Linked DNA regions of Elephas maximus indicus. The protein of the gene in region 2 interacts with the protein of the main gene of each other region in a pairwise test. Links are inferred from orthologs where the notes say so. Each region holds a gene or a part of one and is shown on either strand. Other genes may lie near its edges. The genes, in order: RAB33A, RABAC1, PLEKHF2 and SNX10.

Evidence for each region.
Region 1: the proteins of RABAC1 (region 2) and RAB33A interact in binary tests that used the Homo sapiens proteins (3 or more experiments, as listed by UniProt). The two-hybrid records come from large-scale screens. The link is inferred for Elephas maximus indicus from reciprocal best matches to the Homo sapiens genes RABAC1 and RAB33A.
Region 3: the proteins of RABAC1 (region 2) and PLEKHF2 interact in binary tests that used the Homo sapiens proteins (3 or more experiments, as listed by UniProt). The two-hybrid records come from large-scale screens. The link is inferred for Elephas maximus indicus from reciprocal best matches to the Homo sapiens genes RABAC1 and PLEKHF2.
Region 4: the proteins of RABAC1 (region 2) and SNX10 interact in binary tests that used the Homo sapiens proteins (3 or more experiments, as listed by UniProt). The two-hybrid records come from large-scale screens. The link is inferred for Elephas maximus indicus from reciprocal best matches to the Homo sapiens genes RABAC1 and SNX10.

What each region holds. Positions count from the first base shown.
Region 1 is NC_064846.1:26,288,312-26,296,325, reverse strand, and holds the start of RAB33A (ras-related protein Rab-33A), read left to right. Parts: upstream 1-5,006; 5' UTR 5,007-5,109; coding exon 5,110-5,367; intron 5,368-8,014.
Region 2 is NC_064829.1:108,961,047-108,969,022, reverse strand, and holds RABAC1 (prenylated Rab acceptor protein 1), read right to left. Parts: upstream 3,015-7,976; 5' UTR 2,889-3,014; coding exon 2,833-2,888; intron 2,538-2,832; coding exon 2,325-2,537; intron 1,991-2,324; coding exon 1,893-1,990; intron 534-1,892; coding exon 432-533; intron 352-431; coding exon 263-351; 3' UTR 101-262; downstream 1-100. UniProt on the Homo sapiens protein: General Rab protein regulator required for vesicle formation from the Golgi complex. May control vesicle docking and fusion by mediating the action of Rab GTPases to the SNARE complexes.
Region 3 is NC_064833.1:46,884,738-46,892,337, reverse strand, and holds the start of PLEKHF2 (pleckstrin homology domain-containing family F member 2), read left to right. Parts: upstream 1-4,600; 5' UTR 4,601-4,802; intron 4,803-7,600. UniProt on the Homo sapiens protein: May play a role in early endosome fusion upstream of RAB5, hence regulating receptor trafficking and fluid-phase transport. Enhances cellular sensitivity to TNF-induced apoptosis.
Region 4 is NC_064826.1:87,445,134-87,453,063, reverse strand, and holds the start of SNX10 (sorting nexin-10), read right to left. Parts: upstream 3,015-7,930; 5' UTR 2,646-3,014; intron 1-2,645. UniProt on the Homo sapiens protein: Probable phosphoinositide-binding protein involved in protein sorting and membrane trafficking in endosomes. Plays a role in cilium biogenesis through regulation of the transport and the localization of proteins to the cilium.

The DNA.
Region 1 (8,014 bases), on a different chromosome or scaffold from region 2:
TAGGTCCAAGGCGGGGAACCTGGCTTCCCAGATCCGGAGTAGACTTCCATCTTTTGCAAATTGCTGCCACTTTCCGCATCCAACCCCTGTTTCCGGGACAAGTGGTCCCTCAGCGCTCTCCTTTTCCCGATATCCCATTTATATTGTGCAATTCTGTATCCTGGATGCTGTACCAGGTGCTGCGGTTCGTCTCCTGCTATTATGGCTTCCGTGTTTGAGAGCAGGATGCTGGCAAAACGAGTTCGTGCTTCACAGACTTTCTGTGAGAGAAATCCTAAGCAGAGCTTCACAATTTTGGGAGGAGTAGGGTGAGGCGCTGTTTTGAACATGTCACATGTAAGCTAAATTAGAAATAATTTTTTGCTGTATGCAGAACGTAAAACCAGTTGCTGTGGAGTCAGTTCCAACTCATGGCAACCTGAGTATGTCTACCAGAGTAGAATGTGCTCCTTACGGTTTTCAGTGGAAGTGGATTGCCAGGCCTTTCTTCCGAGACATCTCTGGGTGGACTCGAACAGCCAAACTTTCAGTTAGCAGATGAACGCATTAACCCTTTGCACCACCCAGGGGCTCCATGCAGAGCATAAAAAAAAATAGCATATGCTTTTTTCAAAGATTCGGGTGACATATTCATTCAGCACGTATTTACTGAGCACTTGCTACTTGGACTGTACTGTGAAAGGGGCTTTGGGAGATAGAAAAAGTATAGGAAGTGGTCACTGTCTTGTTGGGGAGATGACATATACTGCTTATTCAAATTATAAATTGTATCTGGTGGTGTAGTGGTTAAGTGCTATGGCTGCTAACCAAAGGGTCGGCGGTTGGAATCCACCAAGTGCTCCTTGGAAACTCTGTGGGGCAGTTCTACTCTGTCTTACAGGGTCACTATGTGTCGGAATTGACTCCACGAAAACTTTTTTTTTTTTTTTTTGGTGTAGTGCCAGAGCAAGAGAAGAGTATGGGCTGGAATGACTAAGGAAGGACTTCATGCAAGAAGTGTTACATGAGCTGTGCCTTCAAGGATGAGTAGTAAAATTCAAATAGACAGTGGAGCAAGAGGAATGATATTTCAAGTGGTGAATCTATTGTGACCAAAGGTAACCTTTTTAGTGGCTAAGCACGTCGACTTTGGATCCAGACCACCTTAAGCTGAATCCTGGCTCTGCCACTTCCTAAGCTATGTGACCTTGGGCAAGTCATTTAATTGTGTCTACCAATCTCATAGGGTTGTTATGAAGATTAAATGGGTTAATGTTTGTGAAGCGTTTTATAGGAAGCACCACCGTGTGTTAAATTAAAAGGCTTAGAGGTATACAAACAAAACTCAGCACATTTCCAGGGGACAAAGAGAAACCAATATGTCTGGGGCAGAGAATTCAGACTAGGAAGAAGCGGTGAGGACTGGTAAGTATGATGGGGCCAGATTTGAACTGTCAAAAAGAGTTTGGCCATAATCTTGTGAGTGATGAAGTAGCTTAATCTTGTGTGTGTGTGTGCATGGAATGTGGATAGGGAATGAAATTATGGAGGCATTGTTTAGGCAGCTTAACCCAGGAAGCAGTCTTTATTTATTTTTCTGGAGCTGGCACTTAATTTCCTTTTATTAAAATTTCCACAAGCCCACGCAGAGAAGCCCCTGGGTAATAAAATAACATCTGTGGAGCCCAGGATGGCGCCACACCCCAGCGTCCTCACAAGGCTCACATCTGGCCAGATCAGCAGTGTATGCAGGGCCTTCACTGCCAGCTGCCGCCCCTGCGTGTCCCCTACTAGGCCATGCCTCTGTCGTTGGGTTTAGGGTGGGAAGGAGTCATTTACTGGGCATCTACTGAATGCTGGGCCCTGGGCCAGGTGCTTTACAGACATCATTGCTTTTCATTCTCACGTCCCCTTTCAGACTTGTTGAAGAGGCTGAATAGTTGGCCCAAGCTACCCCTGGCTGCCTGGCTTTAAAGTCCCTCCTTTTCCTGTCTCCATAGTGCAAAGCAGCCTTGAGTGGAAATTATCTAAGGTTCCCTTAACTATTAAGCAGAATAGATTAATGTTCAGAAATGAGTTATATTTTACCTACTGCTGCTTTGGAGGGAGGTGGTAATATTGAAAATATCAATTCCACAATGAGGTAAAAATTACTCATATTAATTTAATATTTTAAAGACCTTACAGACATTGATGATTATTGATGTTTCTAAAAACTAGTAATAAACATGGTTTGATTAAATACAAAGTTAAACATATCTGTTGGTGAAAGAGGCTTTGGAAAACACTATGATAATCAAGTACCTATGAAAACAACTGTGTGTATTCAAAAGACAATCATTTAACGATGCATAATCAAAACAGAAAAGGCACAGTATAGCACATTTCATTTTTTTTTTTGCCATGGTGCGATGAGGTAGTTTTCTTATCCTTTTAATTAAAAATTGTGTGTGTTTTTTTGCAAAATATACACACATTGAACTAATTTCAAAAAATATAAGTGAAAGCCACCTAAAAATCTCACCCCACAGAGGTAAAATACACTTTTTAATATGGCAAGGTGCCCATCTTGAAACACTGCATTTCCAGGAATCAAAGTTTCTACCCAAATACAGTGTGAATCCTCAGACTCAGTGACAAGTTTTTGCCAGATAAATAATCTTATTATGTAGGTGTAAATTCTTTTTATATATCTCTCAGGAAGTTAGCATTAATTCTGGCTATGAGCTGGCAAAGCCTCTTTCCACTCTACCTACCAAAGAAACAAATCCAAACCCATTGCCGTCCGACTCTTGGCGACCCCATGTGTTACAGAGCAGAACTGCCCATAGGGTTTTCTAGGCTCCAATCTTAACAAGCAGGTCACCAGGCCTTTCTTCTGCTGTGCTGCTGGGTGGGTTTGAACTGCCAACCTTCACGTAAGCACCTTTATAGGTTAGCACCTTTAAGTTAGCAGTTGAGCACAAACTATTTGTACCACCCAGTGACCTCCCTCTACCTACAGGATATGCCTAATAATTACCCCCTCCCACTTTTCATACAGCTGTTCTTGGGTAGATAATGAGTATTTCCTTCAAATACAGTGGTGAATGATCCGGCAAACTATTATCTAGACATCAGACAATCAAAAAACCAAAATGTTGTGTAAAGTTGATGGCTATTCACACTGTACAATGGCAGTTGGTATCCATATGATGACCTTGGATTAGCCAATTATGATTAAATCCTCCCCTGATGCTTGAATAGTATAATCTAGGGTTTCAGACATGGGTGACACATTTATGTGATAAGGGGGTTAGCTATAAATAACGCTTGCTAACTTAGCTATATAGACCCTGTTTTCCCAACCATTTTGAGTAGTGAACTCGGTTGAGTATTCAGTATTCCAGTCCATTTACAGATCTGCCACTGATGCACTGAATTGGTTTTCTCTCGTTGGGAATGGACTAGTCACACGTTTGTCTCTTCCTGAATCTCAGCCTCACACACAAATAAGATGGCAGCTTGCAGTGCTCCTTGAATCCACGACTTTGGTGGTATTAGCAGTAACTCCTGTGTCGGAGCTATTGGCATATGTTGATATTGCCTTAGCCTATGAAATGGGTGGGGAGGCGGAAGGTCTTAAAAACAAACATAAAATAGGTGCACTTTATTGAATTTCAATTGTAACTCAGTAAGGTTGATTTCAGACAAACTCTGAACCTGCAAATCACTTTCGGGAGAGGGAGCATTGACCTTGACCAAGATGTGTGATTATTAGTAAGCTTTGGGAAGCTGCCCCCAGTACCGTAATAAAGTTGTGTTCATTTATTACCTTCCAAGCATAATCTAGGCTTCTGGCAAATTAGAACCAACCATTTTGTTTTACATTCAGTCGCAGGGGGGTGAACCCACCTAGGGGTTTCCAACTCACTTTGAACGTTCACCGTTCTGGAAGGAATTATGGTTATATGGAGGACCCGGCAATGCAAGGCACTGTGGGGCTTATGCCATGTCCCAAGATCCCTCCACCTGGGCCCGTAATGGTTAGCCCCAGAAACAAAGTCCCCTTTTGCTGGAGCTGCCACCACTCGCTTCCCCCCTTCTCCTACCCGCTCATGGCCCTCTCCCGCGGCAAGCCTTCCCCATTGGCCAGCTAAACACAACCGACTGCTGCAGCCAATGGGAGCCGCTCTCCTGAACATTCAGAGGATGGGTGCTCGTGGTGTGATGAGGGGAGGTTGGCGCCTGGCACGCGCCCCCCTACATCTGGCCCTAGACACACACGCGTACCCACCCGCGCCCCCGCTCCCTCCTCTCAGCTGCACGGACTCCCCACACCCTTCTGCGTATCTTGGCAGAGCCCTCTCCCGCTCCTTGAGGCCCGCGGGTGCACCTGCTCACTCAATAAGACAGAGCATCCCGTTTAGCTCAAGGCTTGGGAGGGGGTCCGTGGAGGCGCGGCTCAGCTGCCCGCCGCCGCGAGGTGAAAGAGGTATACCCCCCACACCGCACACCCCCCACCACGAGCTGCGTTGCTCCGATGCCGAAGAGCCCCGGAGATGCCTTAGGCACAGCGCTTTTTGTCCTCCCCAGCTCTGCCACCTGCCCGCTGACCCCTGGCACTCGGAGAAAGTGGGGGTGGGGGCCCGGGACAGAAGACATTAGTCGGGGCGCGCAGAAAGGAAGGCCGCCCCGGGGTGGTGTGTGCAGCGTTCCCCACCCCCTTCTTTTCCTCCTCCAGCTTCTTCCCTCCGGGGTGTCCCAGGGGTCCAGGCAGGGGGAGGGTCTAGGCCTAGGCGCGGCGGCGGCTGCGGCTCTGGGAGCGCCATCGGGTAGCACGCCCTGGTGTCCCGTCCGAGGGCACAGGTGGCAGGAGGAGGCTCACGGCTTGCCCACTCTCCTCCATCCATCGCTCCTCCTCTCCTGGTTTTTGTGTTGGGGCCTTAGAGCTCTCAGGAGGGTGCGCTGGAGGAGGGGGGCCGGGGCGAGAGCACCCCCTTCCCGCGCGCGCGCACACGCTCCCGGCGCACGCACACACAGGCGGACACACACACGCACACAGCTCGCTCGCCTCGAGCGCACGAACGTGGCCGTTGTCTTTGTGTGGAGCCCTCGAGGGGGGTCGGGCTCCGGGCCGGTCCGGGGGAGATGGCGCAGCCCATCCTGGGCCACGGGAGCCTGCGACCCGCCTCGGCCGCTGGCCTGGCCGCCCTGGAGCTCGACTCGTCGCTGGACCAGTACGTGCAGATTCGCATCTTCAAAATCATCGTGATTGGGGACTCCAACGTGGGCAAGACCTGCCTGACCTTCCGCTTCTGCGGGGGCACCTTCCCGGACAAGACTGAAGCCACAATCGGCGTGGACTTCAGGGAGAAGACAGTGGAAATAGAGGGCGAGAAGATCAAGGTGATCCAGACGGTCAGGTCCGGGAAGGGAGGGAGCTGGGAGGGGACCTCGCCTGAGGCATCGCTCTAGTGGCTGGAGACGTCCAGCTCTTGGTTGTGTCGCCGCCCGCTGAGCCCAAGACCCTGGGCACCTCCTCATCCTCTTTTGCCTCTCTCAGTGACCCCGTTCTTACCTCACCCCTGTTTTTAGGGCAGGAGGGAATGGTTTCCTTTTTCAGCTCGTTGCCCCTGGCCGACAGTTCTTGTCTGGAATAGCAAGGTTGATCCCATCCTTGACCCTGCGCCAAGAGCAGCAGCACTTGTGGGCAGAGGGAGGCATGAGGCAGCTTTTGGTCCAGGTCTGTGGGATCGATCCCAAAGCACTTTACGCATCTTGAGGTCTAGTCTACCTCTTGGGTGCCAATAGGCTGCAAAAACCACTTGAGCTAAGCCTCAAGAATGAGAACTGCTTTGTTTTAAATTACAGTTTATAGTTGAGATTAGGGCTGAGTTGAGAGCGGGGGTGGTTCTGGCCCACAGCCATGAGTCCTTTGAAAGAAATTCAGACAGGGTCCCCCGCCAGCCCTTCATAATAGACAAAACTTGTTCTTTTGGAACCATCCTTCCCAAATGATAACTCTTTTACTTGTCTGGGGTATCTTGCTCTGTCAGGTCAGGGTATTATCTTCAGAAGGCCTTTGTAAAAATACAGAGCAAGTTACCTGAGGGCCAAGGGAAGTGCCTTGGTCTCCCCCTTCCCCATGAGTTTATTACATACGCCAAGTACGAATATTCTTGTCTATTTGTTCTCATCTTTAAGTCTACAGGACAGAACATTTCAGTGTGCAGGGTGTGATGGGAGGGAGGACGTGGCAAGGGCAACTTCAGGTGTGTGGGGGGAGGGAGCAGAGGAGGAAGGGGGAGGGAGGCACCTCAAAAGGCACTGGGGACACTGAAGACCAATTTCGCTAGAGTCACAGCTGGCCTTTTCTAGAGCCTCTGGTTGGACCCTCCACGGAGTCAGGGTGAAGGTAAACCTCCCTCTTGCCAGTCCAACAGCCAGAGTGTCTCTGAGGCTGGTCATCTGAGAGATGTGCAGAGAAGGGCTGAGGAACTGGGGAGAATGATGAAACACTCTAAACTGAGCAAGACTCCTGACTCCTTGACTTAAGATGAATGTTTTTTAAATGGCTTCAGAAACCAGGCCAAGGTAGGTGCCAGGAAGATGGGCTGCTCGGTTCTGTTTGTTAACAGAGAGCTCTCCAAAACAATTGAGCCCCAGGGTCAGGAAGCTAGGGCATTGTTCTCAAATTGTGATCTTTTTGACCCTGGCCTTTTGGGAATTGGAGCATTTCCCTTTAAAGTCATTGTAGGTATCTGTCTTGGTCTTTTCCTAGGGCTCGTACACTGACGTTTCCTTGGTTAGGGCTTTCTCTAGTGTGTCTAGTTTCTTTAATGTAAGGCTGCAAGATTCTGGAATTTCTAAAGCATGCCTTTTTTATCCAAGTAGAAATATATCTGTGCATGGGATCTAAAATCCTTAAAATGTAATACTATCACTTGTTGAAAATCAAGTGTCACATTGAGCCAAAGTGTTCCCTGAATTTAAAACGGGGAAATGAGAATAAGGCCGCCTGAAATTTAGGTGGAGGAGAAAGGAAGTGTTTGAGAGTCTGAGGGAGGACGGAGAAGAGAAGGAAGCTAGGAAGTGGGGAATGGGGAGGTGAAAATCAAGTGCAAGAGGGTCATTATCCAATGGCCTTGGGGACATTTTTAAACCATTCCTTCCCTTCTAACACCCCAGTACTTAGCTAAACTGGATTTTACAGTCTCTGCCAAACATTCTGGATCTTCTCCCAGAGGGCAAAGCCTATGACAGTGTGACTCACTGGAAGCAGCTCAGCACACTAGCACGTGCAGATAAGTGCTTAATACAGGCTTTTTGGGGGAAGGTGATATCTTTTAAGAGGGCAAAGTCTTGTGACCATGCCTGTGGAGGAGTCCTCCGACCACAGATTCTGAAGCACTTAAGGTGGGGTATGGGAGCAGGGAGATGGTGTCCCTGCCTCTTGTAAAGCTGCTCCAATCTCACAGCCAACGCTGGCAGGCGAGAGGCCAGCATGTCCGTGGGAAGATGGCAGAGCATGGCAGCTGGACAGCTAGCATGTGATCTAGATAGGAGAAGATTTTGCCCCACACTTCTGCCGGTCTGGAGTTCCTTAAGGAACAAGGGCCAAAACCACTCTAGGAGGTGACTGCCAAGGGCTTTCCCCTTTGGGGGAGAGAGAGAAAAATCCAGTGTGACAGGCCCAGGTAGCCCTAGACCACAGTTAGCAATAGAAGGCTCTAAGCTCTAAAATACCAGCCCTCACAGGAGAGTGGTAAAGAGGTCTCAGCAAGCTCTTTGCTACAGTCCAAGACTAGGGTGGGGCCTCTTTTGGGCTGACTCCTTGTGTCCTGGGGTAGCACACGGGGCAACTCCTGCTGGGGCATGACTGAGTTAGTATATTTGGGGCTACTCCTAATTACCAGAGCCATCCCTAGGAGGTTGAAGCCCATTTGGTGTCTCCAGTCCATGCGCCCCCCCACCCCATCACAGCATTTATGATCCATGTTTTCTGGTTAACATGAATATTGAGAAAAGCCTCCAACAAACAGGCAATAGTAAT
Region 2 (7,976 bases):
TTCTATTGTCTCCCCCACACCCTGAGCCCTGTCTGTCTTGGATCCTCAGTATGCCCAGCGTTACTCTGTACAGACCCACAGAAGACACTGGGACAATGTCTGCAGGACAACAACTGTAACAGCTTTATTTCCAAAGCTGGGAGGCCTCCCTGGGCTTGTGATGTGGGAGGGAGCTTTGTCCCCAGCAGGAGAGCCTTGCAGGATGGGGGTGAACCGGGGCAGAGCGGCAGGCCTGGGAGGCCCGCAGGTTCTTGAGGCCACTTCACACAGGCTCCATCTGCAGCTCTTCCCCATCCACTGCCTCGATCTGGTGGAAGGCGGCATGGGAGCCGATGACCACGAGGGTGGCTCCTGCAGGAAACGGGCAGCTCAGGGCCACGCTTCCTCACCTGGCCTGCACTGCCCACCCGCCACCCAGACCCTGTACTCACCCAGAACCCAGAAGACAGCCGAGCCTGCACCAGCCAGCCAGAAGAAAGGGAAGGAGACGCCTCCAGCCAGAGCGTACTGATGGGCTGGGCTCACCTCTCGGCCTGGGGGACAGACGCATTGGGCAGCTTTTCCAACACTCCATGCCCTCTCTCAGAGTACCCCCCCCACCACGCAACTGGTATCACAAGCTCCACGACCCTCAAGATCAAATCTAAACTCAAACCAAGCCCCTCTGAGCCCTGGCCCCAACTTCTTTCTCCCAGGTCCCCACTGTCTTCCAGAACACAGCACTCTCCTCAGGCCCCTGCCCTTCAACCCCGCTTCTGCTGCTCCAGACTAGGCCTCTGCTACTCCAGCCTGCATTCATGTAGACCAGGGGTCTCCAAGTGGTGGCCCACAGACCAAGTCTGACCAGCAGATGTGTGTTGTTTTTTTTTTTGAGTTTGCACAGTGTTTCACAAGAATTTGATTTGTGGCTGGCAAGTGAACTGAATGGTTTCCCAGAAAAACAGACTTCTGGCTTCTCATGGAAGACTGGAAGGTTGGGTCACACTGGCCTGCATTCTCTGGTGACACCAGTCAGCTGAAGCCAAGTTGTAGCTCTGTCTTAGATGCACCCTGGGTTGCCCAGCATGTCCCTCCCCCAGTCCACTTTTGTCAGGTATGTGACTTGTAGGCTTCTGAAAGAATTTCAATTGGAGCCCCATGAACAACTTTGTCTTAGAGCTTTCTGATTGTCTGATCCCAACTCCCCTCTGGCTCCACTCCAAACTTTGAGCTTCCCCTGGGTGGGGACCCAGGCCCCCCTTGTCATCCCAAAGGTGCATGGTACCAGGCTGGGACCACACGAGGTATTCTACAAAAGCCACAGGCCTCAGTTTCCCTCTCTCAGAAATCCTAACTTCCAGCTTCCACCGCAGGAAGGAGGAAAGCGAAGGGCGCAAGATCTAGGCCATGTACGGCTGCCACCTTGTGGCCAATGTGGGTACCTGCAGTTGATGCTTTCCAGCAGACAGGCTAGAGGAGGGTGTAGGGAGGGGAGATTTCAGGGACAGGAGAAGCCAGGTGGAGAATGAGTTCTGGGGTATCTCATTTTGCAGTTTAGGGGGCTGAGATGGGTGGGAGCATCTGGGATGTCCGGGATCTTAAGCCATCAGGCTTGAGGGACATAGTATAGTGGAAACCCTGGTGGCGTAGAGTTCCACTGCTAACCAAAATGTCAGCAGTCGGAATCCACCAGGCCCTCCTTGGAAACCCTATGGGGAGGTTCTGCTCAGTCCTGTAGGGTCGCTCTGAGTTGGAAAAGACCAGAACAGGTTTTTTTTTTTTTTTTTTTAAGTATAGATCTAGGCCCCGGGCGGACTTAGGTTCAGAAAGGCTTGGATTTGGGGGTCTGATGCTCAAGTTCCAAGAGACAGGACTAGAGGGCCGGGGCTCCGTCTAGGCAGGGGGCTTCTCACCAAAGAGCACGAGCTTGGACTGCAACGTGCGCTGATAGAGGATGTAACAGGCACCAAAGAAGACGGCCAGAGCTACCAACAGCATGGGGGATGTCACCCTGGAGAGAAGTGCGGGGAGACAGGGGTCAGGCAGCTGGGCTTGTCCAGCCAGGGGCCCTGATCCTTCTACACTGGGAGATGGCAGAATGGTTCCTTGACGGTACGCAAAGACGGGTCACCTCTGGTCACACTGTCCTGGCCAAGCCGATAAGGAAGTAGGGGTCTGGGCCTCTGGGAATAAGGTCTGGCCGGGCTGCCCCACAGAGGTGGGGCGTGGCCAGTGGGGGGCGGGAGGCGGCCAGAGAAGAGCGGGATCGACCAAGCAGGGCCACCTGGAGGGGCGATGCCGGGCCCGCGAGGCAAGGGCGGCGTCCCGTCCCCGGAGGCACTCACACGCAGTACAGGATGAGGCCCAGGAACACGAACACGTAGTTGCTCTGGTAGTGCTCCACATTGCGAACGAGGCGCTGGCACAGCTCGCCCAGGTTGCGGGGCCGCGAGAAGCGCCGCTGATCTACGAAGGGGCCCCAGGGCCGGATGGTCGCGCGGCGCCGCTCCAGCCACTCACGGCCCGCGCCGGATGGAATCAGCTTCGGCAGCAGGGTCCTGGCGGGCAGGGCTGGGTCAGCGGTGTACGGGGATGGCCGGGAGCCCCGAAGGAGGAGGCTGAGAGGGCGGGACTCCCGGGTTCTGGGCGGGGGGGCTCGGGAGGGGGCCCAAATCCCGGACCCCAAAGGAGGCCCAAACTCCAGAGTCCTAGAAAAGAAGGGGACCCGGGGTCTAGGCTCCCGTGTCTGAGAGAAGGAGGGCTGGGACCTGGACTCCTGGGACCCGAGGGAGGGGGAAGTTGGGGACCCTCACTCCTGAGTCCTGGGTTAGGGGGCTAAACCGGATCGCTCACGTGGCGCTCAGCCCTTCTCCCTGAGCATCCTTCTGCTGGTCCTTCTCCGCCGCCATGTCTGCGCGGTTAGGGGTAGAACCGCTGTAACGAGCTCCGGGCCCGGTAGACGCTGTCCGCCCGTCCCGAGCCCGGCCTCACCCAGCGGAGCGGACGTGGCGAGGCTCCGGAGCCGCGGGGGGCAGGAGTTCTGTCGCTAAGCATCGTGGGAGTTGTAGTCCTGATCGTGTCTGGTGCGATGGACGCCATGATGGCAGGGTCACTCGCAAAGCACCTTGGGAAATGTAGTCCAAATACGGCGACGGCGGGTGTCCTTCGAGCGTTCCGGAAGTTCTATGTTCAGAAGCTAGGCGTGTGGGAGTCAGGGTCGGGAAACAGGCTACTGGAAGTGGGCGTTATAGGAGCTCTAATGGTAGAAGCAGGTGTCCTGTACTCCCCCGCGGACAGTGCAATGACACTGTATAACGCGGTCATTCTCAGACTCTAAACCCACCCCCCCCCCCAAAATCAAACCCGTTGCTGCGAGTGATTCCAACTCAAAGTGACTCTATATGACAGGGTAGAACTGCCCAATCAGGCTACCAAGGAGCTACTGGTCGAACTGCCCACCTTTTGGTTGGCAGCCGAGCTCTAAAACACTATGCCGCCAGGGCGGGGTTGATTCCAACTCACAGCGAACCTCTACGGCAGAGTATAACTGCCCCTAGGGTTTCCAAGGGGCGGCTGGTGGATTCGAACTGCTGATCTTTTGGTTAGCAGCCAACCTCTTAACCACTTCTCCAAGTTGTTGTTAGGTGCCGTCCAGTCCGTTTCGACTCATAGCGACCCCTATGTACAACAGAACCGAACACTGCCTGGTCCTGCGCCATTTTCACAATCCTTCTTATGGTTGAGCCCATTTTTGCAGCCACTGTGTCAATCCATCTCATTGAGGGTCCTCCTCTTTTTCGATGACCCTGTACTTACCCAAACATGATGTCCTTCTCCGGGAACTGATCCCTCCTGATAACATGTCCAAAGTATGTGAGACGCAGTCTCGGCATCCTTGCTTCCAAGGAGCATTCTGGTTGTGCCTCTTCCAAGACAGATTTTTTTTTTTTTAGCAGTCCATTATATACTCAGTATTCTCCGCCAACATCACAATTCAAAGGTGTCAATTCTTCAGTCTTCCTTATTCATTGTCCAGCTTTTGAATGCATATAAGGTAGTTGAAACACCATGGCTTGGGTCAGGCGCACCTTAGTCTTCAAGGTGACATCTCTGCTTTTCAACACTTTAAAGAGGTCTTTTGGGGCAGATTTGCCCAATGCAATGCATTTTTTTTGATTGTTCAACAACTGCTGCTTCTATGGGTGTTGATCGTGGATCCAAATAAAATAAAATCCTTGACAACTTCAATCTTTTCTCCATTTATCATGATGTTGCTTATTGGTCCAACAGTGAGGATTTTTGTTTCCTTTATGTTAAAGTGTAATCCATAATGAAGGCTGTGGTCTTTGATCTTCATCAATAAGTGCTTCAAGTCCTCTTCACTTTCAGCAAGTAAGGTTGTGTCGTCTGCTTAGTGCAGGTTGTTAATGAGTCTTCCTCCAATATTGATGCCCCTTTCTTCTTCTTGTAGTCCAGCTTCTTGAATTATTTGCTCAGCATACAGATTGAATAGTATGGTGAAAGGATACAACCCTGACACACACATTTCCTTACCTTAAACCAGGCAGTATTCCCCTGTTCTGGTTTGAACTGCCTCTTGATCTATGTCCAGGTTCCTCATGAGCACAATTAAGTGTTCTGGAATTCCCATTCTTCTCAATGTTATCCGTAATTTGTTATGGTCCACAGAGTTGAATACCTTTGCGTAGTCAATAAAACACAGGTAAACATCTTTCTGGTATTCTCTGCCTTCAGCCAGGATCCGTCTGACATTAGTAATCCCTTGTTCTACATCCTCTTCTGAATCCCACTTGAATTTCTGGCTTTCTTGTCCATATCCTGCGGCAGCCACTTTTTTTTTTATTTTTATTTTTTATTGTGCTTTAAGTGAAAGTTTACAAATCAAGTCAGTCTCTCACAGATAAAGTTATATACACCGTACTACATACTCCCATTGAGTCAGCCCACTCCCTCCTTCCAGTCTCTCCTTTCATGACCGTTTTGCCAGTTTCTAACCCCCTCTACCCTCCTATCTCCCCTCCAGACAGGAGATGCCAACATAGTCTCAAGTGTCCCCCTGATACAAGTAGCTCACTCCTCATCAGCATCTCTCTCCAACCCATTGTCGAGACCATTCCATGTCTGATGAGCTGTCTTTGGGAATGGTTACTGTCCTGGGCCAACAGAAGGTTTGGGGACCATGACTGCCGGGATTCCTCTAGTCTCAGTCAGACCATCAAGTCTGGTCTTTTTATGAGAATTTGGGGTCTGCATCCCACTGACCTCCTGCTCTCTCAGGGGTTCTCTGTTGTGCTCCCTGTCAGGGCAGTCATCGGTTGTGGCCGGGCACCATCTAGTTCTTCTGGTCTCAGGATGATGTAAGTCTCTAGTTCATGTGGCCCTTTCTGTCTCTTGGGGTCGTAATGATCTTGTGACCTTGGTGTTCTTCATTCTCCTTTGATCCAGGTGGGTTGAGACCAATTGATGCATCTTAGATGGCCGCTTGTTAGTATTTAAGACCCCAGACACCACAGTTCAAAGTGGGATGCAGAATGTTTTCTTAATAGAATTTATTTTGCCAATTGACTTACATGTCTCCTGAAGCCATAGTCCCCAAACCCCCACCCTTGCTCTGCTGACCTTCAAAGCATTCAGTTTATCCCGGAAACTTCTTTGCTTTTGGTCCAGTCCAGTTGAGCTGACCTTCCCTGTATTGAGTGTTGTCCTTCCCTTTACCTAAAGTAGTTCTTATCTACTATCTAATCAGTAAATAACCCTCTCCCACCCTCCCTCCCTCCCCCATCTCCTAACCACAAAAGAATGTGTTCTTCTCAGTTTAAACTATTTCTCAAGATCTTATACAATATTTGTCCTTTTGCATCTGACTAATTTCACTCAGCATAATGCCTTCCAGGTTCCTCCATGTTATGAAATGTTTCGCAGATTCATCACTGTTCTTTATCGATGCGTAGTATTTCATTGAGTCAGAATCGACTCGATGGCAGTGGGTTTGGCTAGTATTCCATTGTGTGAATATACCATAATTTATTTATCCATTCATCCGTTGATGGACACCTTGGTTGCTTCCAGCTTTTTGCTATTGTAAACAGTGCTGCAGTAAACATGGGTGTGCATATATCTGTTCGTGTAAAGGCTCTTATTTCTCTAGGGTATATTCCGAGGAGTGGGATTTCTGGGTTGTGTGGTAGTTCTATTTCTAACTTTTTAAGAAAACGCCAGATAGATTTCCAAAGTGGTTGTACCATTTTACATTCCCACCAGCAGTGTATAAGAGTTCCCATCTCTCCGCAGCCTCTCCAACATTTATTATTTTGTGTTTTTTGGATTAATGCCAGCCTTATTGGAGTGAGATGGAATCTCATCATAGTTTTAATTTGCATTTCTCTAATGGCTAATGATCGAGAGCATTTTCTCATGTATCTGTTAGCTGCCTGAATATCTTCTTTAGTGAAGTGCGTGTTCATATCCTTTGCCCACTTTTTGATTGGGTTGTTTGTCTTTTTTTTTTTTTTTTATTAACTTTTATTGAGCTTCAAGTGAACATTTACAAATCAAGTCAGACTGTCACATATAAGTTTATATACATCTTACTCCGTACTCCCACTTGCTCTCCCCCAATGAGTCAGCCCCTCCAGTCTCTCCTTTCGTGACAATTTTGCCAGCTTCCAACTCTCTCTATCCTCCCCTCCCCGCTGCAGACAGGAGATGCCAACAGAGTCTCAAGTGTCCACCTGATATAATTAGCTCACTCTTCATCAGCATCTCTCTCCTACCCACTGTCCAGTCCCTTTCATGCCTGATGAGTTGTGTTTGGGAATGGTTACTGTCCTGGGCCAACAGAAGGTTTGGGGACCATGACTGCCAGGATTCCTCTAGTCTCAGTCAGACCATTAAGTATGGTCTTTTTGTAAGAATTTGGGGTCTGCATCCCACTGATCTCCTGCTCCCTCAGGGGTTCTCTGTTGTGCTCCCTGTCAGGGCAGTCATCGATTGTGGCCGGGCACCAACTAGTTCTTCTGGTCTCAGGATGATGTAGGTCTCTGGTTCATGTGGCCCTTTCTGTCTCTTGGGCTCTTAGTTATCATGTGACCTTGGTGTTCTTCACTCTCCTTTGATCTAGGTGGGTTGAGACCAATTGATGCATCTTAGATGGCCGCTTGTTAGCATTTAAGACCCCAGACACCACATTTCAAAGTGGGATGCAGAATGTTTTCATAATAGAATTATTTTGCCAATTGACTTAGAAGTCCCCTCAAACCATGGTCCCCAAACCCCTGCCCTTGCTCCACTGACCTTCAAAGCATTCAGTTTATCCCGGAAACTTCTTTGCTTTGGGTCCAGTCCAGTTGAGCTGACCTTCCCTGTATTGAGTATTGTCCTTCCCTTCACCTGAAGCAGTTCTTATCTACTAATTAATCAGTAAAAAACCCTCTCCCACCCTCCCTCCCTCCCTCCCCGCCTCATAACCACAAAAGTATGTGTTCTTCTCAGTTTATACTATTTCTCAAGATCTTAGAATAGTGGTCTTATACAATATTTGTCCTTTTGCCTCTGACTAATTTCGCTCAGCATAATGCCTTCCAGGTTCCTCCATGTTATGAAATGTTTCACAGATTCATCACTGTTCTTTATCGATGCATAGTATTCCATTGTGTGAATATACCACAATTTATTTAAACATTCATCCATTGATGGACACCTTGGTTGCTTCCAGCTTTTTGCTGTTGTAAACAGAGCTGCAATAAACATGGGTGTGCATATATCTGTTTGTGTGAAGGCTCTTATTTCTCTAGGGTATATTCCGAGGAGTGGGATTTCTGGGTTGTATGATAGTTCTATTTCTAACTTTTTAAGAAAACGCCAGATAGATTTCCAAAGTGGTTGTACCATTTTACATTCTCACCAGCAGTGTATAAGAGTTCCCATCTCTCCGCAGCCTCTCCAACATTTATTATTTTGTGTTTTTTGGATTAATG
Region 3 (7,600 bases), on a different chromosome or scaffold from region 2:
CTATCTTGGTGCCCACCAAAATTCTGGTGCCCATGATGAGCAGGCCACAGGCGCAGTGTGCCTGGTGCTGGTGCACGTTTCCACGACACTTTACTAAAACATTACTCAGAAGAAAAGATCCTGGAACCAATTCAAGAATAAGTAAATGACTCAACGGCAACAGGAAGAAATGTCATAAAAATATTTTCAAAATCCAAGAACGTGGACTATGTTGGTTCCTGGGAGTGTTTTATTAATGTTAATTGAAGAGAGTGCATGGAATAGTTCATAATAATTACCCACATATTTAAAGGATGTGTAAATCAGTGAAGACGTGAATAGAGTTTCAAGTTCTCTCTGAAGTTTGGAAAGCTTTTTAAACATGTCTGTGCTTCTGGCAAGACCTTCCTGTCTCTCATCTTGCTCAGAGTTGCTCAGAATTGCCTGGAACGCCCTCTGATACCTCTTTGTGGCTCGCCTGTTCTTGCTCTTGTCTCCCCTTGTTCTCTGATTCCCCCCCCCCCCCCCCACACTTCATCTCTCTCTTCCTACCTCCAAAACCAAAACCAAAACCAAACCGGTTGCCGTCTGGTCAATTCCAGCTCACAGCTACCCAGCGTGTGTCAGAGTAGAGGTGCATTCCATAGTGTTTTGAAGGCTGTGACCTTTGGAAGCAGGTTGCCAGGACTTTCTTCTGAGTGGGTTCAAACTGCCAACCTTTATGGCTAGTAGTCAAGCACTTAACCATTTGTGCCACCTGGGGACTCGCTACCTACTTCATTGTTGCTGTGTGCCCTGGAGTTGATTCCAATCCATTGCGATCCTAGAGGACAGAGTCGAACTGCCCTTAGGATTTCCAAGGAGCATCTGATGAATTTGAACTGCCAACCATTTGTTCAGTTGTATCACTTAACCACTGTGCCACCAAAATGGATTGAATAGTGGCTCCCAAAAAGACATGTCCAAGTCTTAACCTTTGGTACCTGTGAATGTCACCTTATTTGGAAAAGGGTCTTTGCAGATGTAGTTAAGGATCTCAATATGAGATTATCCTAGATTTAGGGTGGGCCCTAATCCAATGGCAGGTGTCCATATAAGAAAACAGCAGAGGGAGATTTGAGACCCAGAGAGCCACAGAGGGCAGAAGGCCACGTGAAGCCTGAGGCGCAGCCTGAAGTTATTCTGTCACAGGCCAAGGAATGCCAGGAGCCACCAGAAGCTGGAAGGGGCAAGGAAAATTTCTCCCCTAGGGCCTTCAGAGGGAGTGGAGCCCTGCTGACATCTTGATTTCTAACTTCTGGCCTCCAACACAAATTTCTGTTGTTTTTAAGCCATCTGCTTTGTGATATTTGGTTATGGTGGCCACAGGAAACTACTGCAGTAATTTTCCCTACCTTTCTCAGGTGCCATACACCAGTAAGATCCTGTTTGCCCCACCAGGTTGCAGACAAAAGACACCCTTCCATCCTGCTCCCTCCCACCCCTCCTTGCTTCTACTCCTGATTCCCATCTCACCCTCCCTTGTTTGATGGCCCATTAGTACACATCTCTCTGTGTGATTTTGCATCTAGCACACTGTATAACCAGCTGCAGTGAGGGAGCAAAGTCCAGGAGGCCCCCTGCTGTGCCCAGCATTAACTCATTAGGTCCTGGATTGTCACAACCCAACATTGACAAGATTCTTGGCGTTAATTCTAGTTGTGTACCAGGAATTGTGCTAAGTGGACTATCTCTTCGAAACCTCTCCACAACCGTATGGGTGATGAAAATGAAGCCTAAGCAGGTTCAGAGATGTGCGGCCAGGTCACCCAGGTAGCAAGCAAGTGGCTGAGTAAGGACTGGAAACTGGGCATGTTGTAGGGTGAAAACATCACAAAGTTTAGTAAAGCAAAACGAAAGCTTTATTCGGCGTTTGTTCAAATAGGCAAAAGTTGAAATGGACAAGCATGCTTCCAGAGCTAATGTCTGCCCAAATCCAAAGAATATTACAGAATAGGCAAGAATGGGAAAACGGACAAGCATGCTGCCACAGATATATCTGTCTGAGTCCAAGGAATATTACGGAATAGACAAAAGTGGGAAAATGGCTAAGTATGCTGCCAGAGCCGTGTCTGCCCAAGTCCAAGGGTTACAGAATGGCAAGAATGGGAAAATGGACAAGCATGCTAATGGGCAAAACCATTGAAAGCTTCACCTTTTCACAGATTGGCTAGAAACTGCTAAATCTCTGATTCTACATTTTGAATTGTCATTCTTAACAATCATTGGTACAGGTTCAGTAAAGACAGTCAGGAGGGTCTTCACTGGTCCAACAAATCTTACTATTCATTAAAGGCTAGTAAAAAACGATAAAAGTTGGAAGCATGAGGGTCACTAGTGCTGTGTTTTATGATTTGTTTATGTGAAAGATTCCCTAAAAGATGTTTTCCAAAATTGTCCTAGCTATTGTCTTTATACCTCAGAGCCCAGTTGATGTGTCCTTGTGAATCCAGCTCCAGGTGGGTCACATTCCAAGACAGAGAATAATGGTTCCAATATTATCTCCTAAATCAGGTGGCCTGACTCTTTGCTCTGTGTGCGGTGTGTGAGGAAAAGCCTGGAGAGAATCATCTCTCTGTGGAGTAGGGAACACTTAGCAAGAAGGGTCCTCCAGTCTAAGGGCCCTCAGAAAGGTACATTTTTTTATTTCAGAACAATGGCACCAGAGGGATACTAGCTGACCCCATCCTTCAGCCCTGATTGGAAGCGCAGGCCTAAGGGCTAAGAGGGAGGCCCTCATCTAGGAATTCATCCACTCTGAGGGAGAGCGGGAGGGAAGGGTGAGTTCCATGCTCAGAAATACAAGTTAAGCACAGAGCTTACAGAGCATGCAGAGTCCCAGAGACTTCTGGGGAATCACAGATTATAGGCCAGGACATAGAAGGTGAGAACTTAGCAAATAAGACTTATTGAGTCCAGAGGGTTTCCCTGCCTGTTTCCTTGAGGTGATACGCAGTGAGACTTAGCTTGGAAAGGTTATAATGTATTTGTGTTTAGAGAGGCGTTGTGAATGGGTGGAGTCCCTGGATGGCACAAAAGGTTAAGCCTTAAGGTTAGTGGTTCAAACCCACCCAGAGGTGCCCTGGAAGACAGGCCTGGCAAGATGCTTTCGAGAGGTCACAGCCTTGAAAACCCTATGAAGCAGTTCTGCTGTGCACACGTGGAGTCACCATGAGACTCAAAAGCAACAACAATAGTGAATGAGTAAAACAAGCAAACCTGCATCTCCAGCCTTGGAGGAGAGAAGTGAATGGGGGTATTGGCTTTAAACTGAGAAGGCTGGAAGCAGCCTGAGGTGTGCAGAAGAGAAGAAAGGGAAATAAGGGAAGCTTGCCTCAGCCTTGGCCAGAGGTGTGGCCCCTGCAGCTTAACTGGTGAACACCCCAGTGACTCCTTGAGCACGTAGGCAGAACGTGAGGGGGCCACATTAAAGCTAGAGCAGTTGTTGCTGTGGAATTTGCCAGTGGGTGACTTTCTTACCTTTCTCCCCATGGGCTGATAGCCATGTTTGCTGAAAGTCAGTGGCATTTTCTGGCGCTATATACGTTTTTATATATATATACGTAGGCGTGCTTGATAGGACCTTTTAAATAAACCTAGTCCCAAGTTATCATTATGCTATTACATTTGTTAGTTGTTGGCAGATCTGTCCCACCATATACAAAAGCTGAGCTATTTCAGTTACTGTACTTATGAGTCATCTTGCCGATTTTGTATATATTTTCTACCACTGTTCTATAATCTCATCCTTTCGCTCAGTGTGTGCAGGTGATAATTATGTTCTTTCCCTTTCTTACATTTTACTTCTATGAGATCAAAATAGCAAAAAGGACAGTTACAGTTTTCTCTTAAAAGTTTGTGGAGACTTACAAAGCTGACCTTGACACTAGCGCTTTGACTTAGATCAGTGATTACAAATAACGTAAGTGCTCTTCCGAGCTTTGCAATAAGCAGAAATGCACATCAAGATAGCCTTGCATTTTAAGGGCAGATTGAACTGGGTGCCCATCTTGTCAAATTGTGAAGTCTTCAAAAATTCTTTTTGTGTTGAGTGGATTTGCTACATCCGTCATTGCTACTGAGGTCTAAAAAGATCGTCTGGAACGCATCAGTATTTGTCAGCACTCAGAGAGCTGAAGGGTCTCCTTAGGGAAAGGGCAAGGGAGGTAGAACAAACTGTAGTAACCCAAGAAAAGATGGATTTGTATGACTGAGAAGACTAAAGTCACGTGTTTTCATTCACCACACTATTTCTGGAAGGTCTTGGCAATTTTTAAAAGTTGTTATATCATTGTTTTCTTGATGGCTTCTCTAGCTGTTCAAACGTGGTAAGAAGATGACAGTGTTATCACACAAAAGGGAAGGAAGAGCCGTGTTCCTCTGACTGAAAAATGTTTCCTCAGTTCCTGTCTGTCCATTACCTTGAAACTCTCTCCAGTTTTCTCAGACAACACTGGTTGGAGCTGACACACTCAGAGGAACACACACTTCCCCATTCAGATGACCACATCAGGAAGTAGAAGCATAGCTTTGACTCAATAGGGGCTTCTCTGCCCACATGCTTCACATACGTGAACTGTCAGGCCTCATCTGAGGGACTTACAGTGGGTCAAGATCTCTTCTCAGCTGAGCCCAACCTGATTGCTCAGCAAATAGTTTTGAGAGAAGCTTAGACCTCAAGTGTGAGAGCCGCGCACAGTTATTTTTCCCGAAGATGTGCTGAAATCACAGATGTCTACAAGTCAACGCTTAAGGAATGGCACTCCTAAACAGCAGGAAATTTGGTATGTTCTCAGTTGCAAAAATGTGTCCTAGATGCTGCAGATGGTGATTTTATTCTTCAGCCACGACAATAGCCCTAGTTGGGGCCCTGATCATGCATTTTCTGGTGACAATGCTCAATGTATTCTGAGCTTATTTTAACCATATTTTGAAGTGAAAGTACATGTATTTTAGAGAACTGAAAGTGACTCTATGTGATTAAATCGTAGTGTCAGTATTTTTAATTAGCAGTCTTTTGGTTGAAATCAACAGAACCCAACTAGCTTAAAAAAAAAAAAAAAGCTTAAATAATAAAGAGAATTTATCATCTCACTTACTTAAAAAGTCCAGAGGTAGTTCAGGCTCTAGATAAGATTTGATGATGTCAAGGGTCTCATTTCATTCTGTCTTTCTGTTCTGGCTTCCCCTGTGTGAGCGGGCATCTTAGGGCAGACTTCCTTATGGTCCCAAAATGGATGCCAACAGGTCCTGGGGTTACATGATTTTTTGTTTATATCAGTAGGAAAGAGACCATCTCTTCCCTGAATTGCCAAATAAAATTCCTGGGCTTCATTCTGACGGAACCAATGACTGTATTTGGGACTATGGGATGCCCTGATGCCATAATTCCGCTCATCCTTGGAACTGAGGGTGGATCAATCCCCTGTGATGGTTAAGGTTATGTCAACTTGGCTAGCCACAATTCTCAGTGGTTTGGCAGTTATGTAATGATATAGTTATCCTTCATTTTGCGATTTAATGTAATCACTTCTGTGATATGATCTGATGTGATCAGCCAATCAGTTGTAAGGGGAGTTTGCTTGGGTGTGTGACCTGCATCCAACACTAGCTAGCTTTTCCTCACTCCAGATCCTGCATCTGGCTCATCATCATCTGACCTCTGGCTCTTGGGACTTGAGCCAATGGCCTGCCATATTGCCTGCCGATCTTGGGTTTGTCAGCCCCGGCAGCTACGTGAGTCAGGAGAAGCCTCCAGACTGACACCTGACCCACAGTCTTGGAACTTCGCAACCTCTATAACCAAGTGAGCCATTTCCTTGAGATAAATCTCTCTCTCTCTCACCATATATATGTGCATATATATTTATCTACACACTTCACTGGTTTTGCTTCTATAGAGAACCCAGCCTAAGATACTCCCCAAATGCTTTGTTGAGAGTGAGGTAAAAATGATTGCAAGGGAAATTCGGGATACTCTTACCAAAAGAAGTATAAGTAGATGAAAGGACGCAAAAATAACCAACATTCTCTCATGAGTGTTTTGGGAGGAAAAGCTATAAGCTATCCAGAAAGGCGAGTTGAGGAGTGACTGGGAAGGGCTCTGTTAAGAAGTCTGAACCTGACGTCTTTTGAAAGGTGATTTTAATCAGCAAATATCACCTAATATCCACAGAAAACTCCTTAGGGTCATTAAATACCCAACAATCTTTTTATGAAGTCCTTGGGTGATGCAAACAGTTAAGCACTTGGCTGCTAACAGAGAGGTTGGTGATTAGGAATATACCCAGAGATGCCTCGGAGGAAAGACCTGATGATCAGCTTCCAAAAGATCAGTCATTGAAAACCCTATGGAGTGCACTTCTACTCTGCATACGTGGGGTTGCCATGAGTCGGAATCAACTGGTTTGGTTTTGGTTTTTTAGTCTTTTTTACAAATGAAGCTTTTTTTTTTATGTGTGGTTAGAATAGCTAGACGTCTGGATACTGAGTAGATCCAAAAAAAAAACCAAACCCAGTGCTGTCAAGTCAATTCCGACTCATAGCGACCCTACAGGACAGAGTAGAACTGCTCCATAGAGTTTCCGAGGAGCACCTGGCGGATTTGAACTGCTGTCCTTTTGGTTAGCAGCCGTAGCACTTAACCACTGCGCTACCGGGGTGCCCACTGATAGGAACCTATTATTTGATCATTGTACTTTTCGTTGTGTTTGAAATATTTTATAATTAAAAACTGAAAGTGACACACGGATATGGTAGACATTATCAATATTTTATATTTTTCTCCTTCCTGTGTGCTCAGGAGACTACGCTTTCTAGCTCATCTTGCAATTAGGCAGTTCGTGTGATTAGTGCTGACCAATAGGCTGTGAGCAAAAACGACACTGGTTTGGTCTGGCCTGAGAGTATAAAGCTCTGGGTGAACTTTTGGCTTTCCCTTCTTCTTCAACATGATAGTGGATGCCAAATATTGAGATGGTGGAGCTGCAAAGTAGTTGGGACCACCGAATCACTGCACAATGTCCACTGCCTTGGAGAGTCATCAGATGTTCTGGTTATCAACTTCTGTGTGTCATACCACCCCAAAACTTATTAAAGTAACAATTTTCTGTTATCTCTTATGGGTCTGTGGATTGACTGGGCTCAACTGGGCAGCTCTTGCTGAGGGGCCTTTCAGACGGTTCCAGTCAGTTGCAACTGGAGCTGCAATCACCTAAAGACTCATATGAACTGGATGTCTAAAATGGCTCACTCGTATGTCTGGAATTGGTGCTGGGTGTTGACTGGGTAGGGGGCAGTTGTGATTCAGTGGTAGATTTCTCACCTTCCATGCGGGAGGCCTAGGTTCAATTCCTGACCAGTGCACCTCAGGAGCATCCACCACTTGTCTGTCAGTGGAGGCTTGAGTGTTGCTATGATGCTGAACAGGTTATAGCAGAGCTTCCAGGTGAAAACAGACTAGGAAGAAAGGACTGGTTATCTACTTCTGAAAATCAGCCAATGAAACCCCAAGGATTGCAATGGGCTGATCCCATTGTACATGGGGGCTGACTAGATAGGAGCTAACAACAAGTCTTCTTAT
Region 4 (7,930 bases), on a different chromosome or scaffold from region 2:
GAGAATCATGAAAGCTCAGGCAAAGCTGAATCATTCAGAGAACTGAAAGCACATCCTTTGCAGACACTGGTGGGGGCAGGGATGTGTGGTTATTTAGGGACAAATAAATGAAAGCACCAATGAGAGCTGTCCTTGATTGAGGTCTTAGCATACTGATTCTGGACCCAGCTTGCCTTATTCAAATCTCCATCCCACCATTTATCTGACCTTGCTATCCATGCCTCAGTTTCTTCATTTGTGAAAAAATTGTACAACAGTACCTATCTCAAGGGTTGTTAATATACATCGGGCACTTGAAACAGGGCCTGGAACACAGAGTCCTAAATAATTATCGGCTTTTACAGAAATCTGGGACACATCTGCCAGGTGGTTAAAACTCTAGGCTGAGGAGTTTAGGGACGTCATAAACATCCTCAGGGCTTAGCTTCCCCAGATGTAAACTGAGGACAATAACAGAACCTGCTTCATAAATGTGCTGTGAAGATTAATGAGATTACCACATTAAAAACTCTTCTCACAATTCTTCACACATAGTAGGAGCTCACTAAATCTCAGCTATTATTATTAAAAATCCTGAGAGGTGAGAATTATCATCACCCTTTTTGTATTTTTCAAGAAAGAATAACTCAGATCTATTAAAGTTAAGTGCCTTGCTACAGAACTTCAGGTAGCAAATGACTGTGTGGAGATTTTGGCTTAGATAGGTCTGAAACAAGAAGTTGTAGCCACTACCTCATACAATCTCTTATTTAAACAAAGCTTAGGAAAAATCGAATCTAATTCATACTCACCAGATTAGTAAGAGAAAGACTATGGGTGGTGATAACAACCCAAAATTTAGAAGATTGTCCATGGCTGTGAACCAGGACCTCGGCCAAAAGCCCTTCTTTACCACTCCTGGAAATGAAAGCCTGCCTGGGCCATGGTCTCAACCAGCTAGTTCTCTACCCTTCACAAGTAGTTGTTAAACCACAGACCTGACAGCAGAAGAGGAAAAAGAAGCCATTTCCCACAAAAGCTTGGCTAGCAAAGTGAACCCTTCAAAACGGCAGAAGAGACCCTCGGGCTGAAAAAAGATATCAAGAGTGCTCCAAAGTCATGCAGACTAGCTGTAGTAGAACACACAAGTTTGTCTTTAATTAATACATTTTTATCTGAAAAAGAATAAAGGTGTTTATTTCTATTTTTAGGAAACCGAGCTGGAGGTTAAATAAGAGGAAGTGCCTACCACACCCCAGAGTGGTGGGGGGGGAATAGCACTCAAGGGGTTGCCAGGAGGAAATGTGTCAGCCTGAGCACATCCTTCTTTCAACACCAATTTCCTCACCACTGAGATGGTAACCCCAAAGTGAGATGAAAGGACTGACAGAGGAAACAGGACAATCAGGGAATACAAGTCAACGCTAATCACGTTATTTCACATCTTCATATATTTACTTCATGCATTTTATTTTTGTATATTTAGGACAGTGCTGCTAGTCAACCTAAAAGTAGGCACATCCTTTTAAGAAAAAAAAAAAGGCCAAGTGTATATAGGCCTTAGAATGAGTCTGCCTCCCTTGATCACTGTACGCAAGGCAGGAACACCTCAGGGGCCCCTCGCCTCACCCCAATTGTCCTATTGAGGACGCTGTCCCAGCTTGGCCACTGGATGAGAGTCCCCTGTCCACACTGTCCTCCACCTCACCCTCTCAGGGACCAGCCAACTCCTAGAGTGGAGGGAGTGTATGCATTCCAAAACCCTCCCCTCTCTCCACCCACCAAGGGTACAGAGAATTCCGGGGTAGGCATCAGAAGACCACCAGGTTGGAGGCCTGTTTCTCCTCCCATCTGGCTGAAAGACCCTAGTCAAGACACGCCCCTCCCCCTGCCTCGGTTTCCCTGTCTGTAAAATGAAAGATTAGAACGATATCCCGTGAAGGCCTCTTTCCTGCTCTAAATGTCTAATTCCATTATTCTTACAGGTAAACGTGTCTTGCAGGGATAGAAGCCCTTCCTTTAAAGCAGGACATGTTGCTCTACGTTTCCAGAGACCATTCCCGTCAATACTCCGTGTCATTTTAGAGTAGCATGATTCATCCAGAACTGAAGAGCAAGGCCGTTGATTTCCCGTGTCACCTACCCTGGCATGGTAGTCAACGTGGATTTTCTCTCGGGCCTTTTCCCTCAATCCCACACACACACACACACACAAAACCCTGCCCACCTCCTCCTAATTTCTAAACTCAAAATTACCGTTTCATGAATTAAAAAAAAAAAAAAAAAAACACCTACCCAAACCCAATCTGGTGTAAGATGCCACAGCACTTTTTCTAGAATTCAGGGTTCCACCTCTACCCCACCCCCTCTCCCTGGGGTGTCTTTTTAGCAAATGAACCCCTGGACCAATACTTTGCATCGCCCTCCCTTGGTCCGACAAACCCACTTCTTTCTCCCCTGCACACCTCAGCTGGAAAGGAATCACCTTCTTGGATCCAATCCCAAGGGACCCAAACCTCTCCGGGGCCCGCAGGGAACCGGCACCTAGATGCGGGTAGAAGGGCCCCGCGCCTCTGAAATGGAAAAAGCGACCGGCTCGCTCCGGCCGCGGTCCCAAGCCCAGGCAGTGCAAAAGAGTCCTCCCCGACAGGTCTCCTCTCACTTACCGGCCGCTTCTCAGTGCGGGGCAGGGCCGGGCAGGGCAGCGCCGGCGGGCAGGCGGCCTGGCGAACCGGCGGCGGAGTTTGCTGACTCAAAGGCGCGGCGGCTGCGGCGACGAGCTCACAGGAGCGCACACGAGCGCAGCGCCGTGCTCCCCGCGCACGTAGCTGTCCGCGCCCGTGCCCGCGCTCAGCGTCCGCCTCCCGCGTGTGACTGCCGCGTCTGGCCGCCAGGGCTCCCGCTTCCACCGCCGGCCGGGACCACACCCTCCAGCCCAGCTGTGGCCTCGGGACGCCCGCTGCGCCCCGCCCTCCTGCCGCGCAGGAGACGAAGCGGACCCCCAGCAGGCGCGGCTGGGGCTATGGGCGGAACTGCCGGCGGGCCCGCCGCGCTCTGGTGCCGCGACTATGCCTCCTTCGACCCGGAAATCGGGTTAGGGAGGAAATACCCCCACTTGCCCGGACGCTGAAGCTGAGGTGTGCAACCAGCATCCCCTGGAATTCTTAATGATGAGTGGAGGGACCTTAATGATGGGTGGAGAAAGAGATAGAGATGGACAGATCTGTGACAAGCAAATATAATAAAATGTTAATAAAAATCTAGGTCGTGGGCATATGGGTGTTTCCTGTACAATTCTTTCAATTTTTCTGAATTTTGAAATTTCTGCATAATAAAACGTTTGGGAGGGGGAAATAAATGAGATCCGCCAAGAGGACTGAATCAGTAAGCCAATTCCCGAATAGAACTTTAGGCTAGGTCTGACACACCCCTTTGCTGGAAAACCTCAACGCATTAAAAAAAAAAAAAAAAAACGCATTATGAGGTCATTTAAGCTTCTGATGGGTGACTACCTAACACTTCATTTCTGAAGCACCAGTTATCCCATTAGACACAGCCTGCTCCAGACGATTGTTGGGGGCCACGGCAGGCCCACCTGGAAATATAACATGACGGATACGCTCCACACCGAAGTTGATTTTGCATAGCAAAACTTCTAAATCTACAATGTCGTATCTTAATATCTGGTTCCTGGATTTGCACCACTGGATCATGAATCACTGACGTTGAATTTCCTATGACTGCAGCCAAGTCATAACACACAAGTAGATGCAAACATGATCACTTCTGAAAATAAAATTTAAGTATATTTTTCAAATTCTCGCCCCTATGCTCCACAAGGAAAAGCATTGGCTGGAAAACGAAATGCTGCACGAGCCTAAGATACTGAGTTGTTGATAGCTGCCATGGAGTCCCGACCCAAATCATGGGGAGTCGGTGCACAAGGGAACCAAATGCTACCTGGTCCTGTGTTACCCCATGGTCAGTTGGAGATTGGACTGCTGTGATCCATAGGGTTTTCACTGACTGATTTTCAGAAGTAGATTCCCAGGTCTTTTTTCCTAGTATATTTTAGTCTGGAAGTGCCACTGAAACCTGTTCAGCATCATAGCAACGCAAAAGCCACCACTTACAGACAGGCGACGGTTATGCATGAGGTGCATTGGCAAAGAATTGAACAGGGTCTCCCACAGGGAAGGTGAGAATTCTACCACTGAACCACCACTGCCCCCTAAGACACTAAGAGAGTCTGCAAAATTAAAATCTTTCTGAACTTGCCAAGAGCAGGACCTTACAACTGTAGACAGAGCAGCAGATAAAGCCTTGGAGATTCTATGGAAAGTCATTTAAATATCTGTTAAAATTATGACCCTAACAGAAAGCCAAAATATGACCTTGAGTATATCCCACCTGAATTTAGAGATCATCTCAAGAATATATTTCAACACTATTCTTTACATATTGAACACTAATGACCGAAGACCAGACGAGTTGTGGAATGACATTAAGGACATCACACGTGAAAAAACCAAAAGGTAATTAAAAAGAACAAAAACACCAAAATGGATGTCAGGAGAGACTCTGAAAGTTGCTCTTGAATGTAAATGTCTTAGTCATCTAGTGCTGCCATAACAGAAATACCACGAGTGGATGGCTTTAACAAAGAGAAATTCGTTTTCTCACAGTCTAGTAGGTTACAAGTCCAAATTCAGGACGTCAGCTCCAGGGGAAGGCTTTCTCTCTCTGTGGGCTCTGGAGGAAGGTCCTTGTCCTCAATCTTCCCATGGTCAAGGAGCTTCTCAGGCACAAAGACACAGCGTCCAAAGGACGCACTCTTCTCCTGGTGCTGCTTTCTTGGTGGTATGAGGTCCCCCACTCTCTGCTTGCTTCCCTTTCCTTTTATCTCTTGAGGGATAAAAGGTGGTGCAGGCCACACCCCAGGGAAACCCCCTTTACCTTGGATTAGGGAGGTGACCTGAGTAAGAGTGGTGTTACAATCCCACCTAATCCTCTCAACATAAAATTACAATCACAAAATGGAGGACAGCCACACATTACTGGCAATCATGGCCTAACCAAGCTGACACATTTCTTAGGGGACACAATTCAATCCATGACATTCCACCCTCTGGCCCCCAAAAAATCACATCCTTGTAATATGCAAAACACATTCACCCCATCATATCATAGCAAAAGTCTTAACTCCAAGTCCAAAATCCAAAAATTCCTCAACCGTGAAATCTAGAATGCAAGTTATCTGCTTCCAATGGTACAATGGCAGAATAGGCACAAGCTAGACATTTCCATGACAAATGGGAGAAACTGAAGGGAAAGAAGGCATAATAGGCACCAAGCAAGTCAGCAGACCACAATACATTAGCCCGCAAAGCTTTGAAAATAATCCTCTGTTCTCCGAGACAATTTATGCAATGACCCTGCCCTCCAGACTCTAGGTATTGGCCACATTCTCCAGATTCTGAGTGGAGAACCCTTGGCCCTGGGACAGCAACTCTGCTCCCTTGGCTTTAGACACACCATTCTCCTAGTCCCTCTGAGTGGCAAGTCCACCCTTAGAAACACCAGAGGCCACGGCTACACCCTCTGAAACCCCTGAGGTCATGGCCCTACCTTTCGAGACTGAGGCAGCTCGGCTTCTTGTGTTGTCTCTTCAGCTTCTGCTTCCTGGTTTCTTGGCCTCTTGGCTCCTCGGGCCTCATGCCCGCATCTGCTCTGCTGGGGCAAATGTTCCAAAGCTCTGTAGCTCTACCGATAAATGCCTGGAGGCATTCCATTCCACCAGAAGGCCTCTTGCACACAGGCACTTAGCTCTCTGGCTCCATGGGTCGGCAAGCCTAGCTTCACTGATAAGTGCCTGGAGGCATCCCTACTCCTCCAAGAAGCCTCCTGCACACAGGCACTCAGCTCTCTCGTTCCTTGGGTCTGCCCCAGTGCCATCTCATGCTGGTCTCCTGGTTCTGCTGCTGCTGATTCTCTGCCACTGCAGGTTCTCTGCTGAACTAGTCCTCTGCCACTGTCGCAACTCTATCCATTCACAGTTGCAAAACTGCTTCCACATTTTAGGTATCTGTTAGAGCAGCACCCCACTCTTTCAGTACCAAATGCTGTCTTAGTCATCTAGTGCTGCCATAATAGAAATACCACGAGTGGATGGCTTTAACAAAGAGAAATTTATTTTCTCACAGTCTAGTAGGTTACAAGTCCAAATCCAGGGCATTGGCTTCAGGGGAAGGCTTTCTGTCTGTGCCAGCTGCAGAAGAAGGTCCTTGTCCTCAATCTTCCCATGGTCAAGGAGCTTCTCAGGCACAAAGACACAGTGTCCAAAGGACATGCTCTGCTCCTGGTACTGCTTTCTTGGTGGTATGAGGTCCCCTACTCTCTGCTTGCTTCCCTTTCCTTTTATCTCTTGAGAGATAAAAGGTGGTGCAGGCCACATCCCAGGGAAACTCCCTTTACCTTGGATCAGGGAGGTGACCTGAGTAAGGGTGGTGTTACAATCCCACCTAATCCTCTCAACATAAAATTACAATCACAAAATGGAGGACAACCACACATTACTAGTAATCATGGCCTAACCAAGTTGACACATATTTTTTAGGGACACAATTCAATCCATGAGAGAAAAGGAGCTAAAGTGAATGGAAGTGGTAATGAAGTAAAAGAGCTGAACAGAAGATTTCAAAGGTAGCTCAAGAAGACAAAGTATTAGAATGAAATGTGCAAAGACCTGGAGTTAGAAAACCAAAAAGGGAGAATATGCTCATCATTTCCCAAGCTGAAAGAACTGAAGAAAAAATTCAAGCCTTGAGTTACAATATTGAAGGATTCTATGGACAAAATATTGAACGATGCAGGAAGCATTAAAAGATGGAAGGAAAACACAGAGTCACTGCACAAAAAAGAATTGGTCAATGTTCAACTGTTTCAGGAGGTAAAATATGATCAAGAGCTAATGATACTGAAGGAAGAAATCCAAGCTGCACTGAAGGTATTGGCGGAAAAAAAAAAAAAAAAGGCTCCAGGAATTGACAGAATACCAATTGAGATGTTTCAATAAATAGATGCAACACTGGAAGCTATCACTCGTCCATGCCAAGAAATTTGGAAGACAGGTACCTGGCCAACCTACTGGAAGAGATCCATGTTTGTGCCCATTCCAAAGAAAGGTGATCCAACAGGATGCAGAAATTATTGAACAATATCATTAATATCACGCTGTCTTAAACCCAGTGCCGTCGAGTCAATTCCGACTCATAGCAACCCTACAGGACAGAGTAGAACTGCCCCATAAAGTTTCCAAGGAGGGCCTGGAGGATTCAAATTGCCGACCCTTTGGTTGGCAGCTGTAGCACTTAACCAGTATGCCACCACAGACACACTCTGTCTTAGGCTGGGTTATTTAGAGAAGCAAAACCAGTGAAGCGTATATACAGAGAGAGACAGACATTTATCTAGAGGAAATAACTCACGAAGTTGTAGACACTGGCAAGTCCCAAGTCCATAGGTCAGGAGTAAGGCTGGAAGCTTCTGACACATGTAACTGCAGAGGCTGATGAACCCAAGAGCAGCTGGTAAGACAGAAGTTTACTAGCTCACAGCCTGCGGAGGATGATGAATCCCAAGATCTGTAATCAATACGGCAGGCCACTGACTCAAGTCCCAAGAACCGGAGGTCAGATAATGGTGAGCCAGATGCAGGATCCAGAGTAAGCAAGCAAGCTTTGCCAGAACGTCCATATATATATTGGACGCAGGACACACCCCCGAGGAGACTTCCCTTACAACTGATTGGCTGATCACATCAAATCACACCGTGCAAGATGACTACCTCATTACATAACCGCCAAATTACATCATTGTGTAACTGCCAAACTACATCATTATATAACTGCCAAACCACTGAGAATCATGGTCCAGTCAAGTTGACACACAA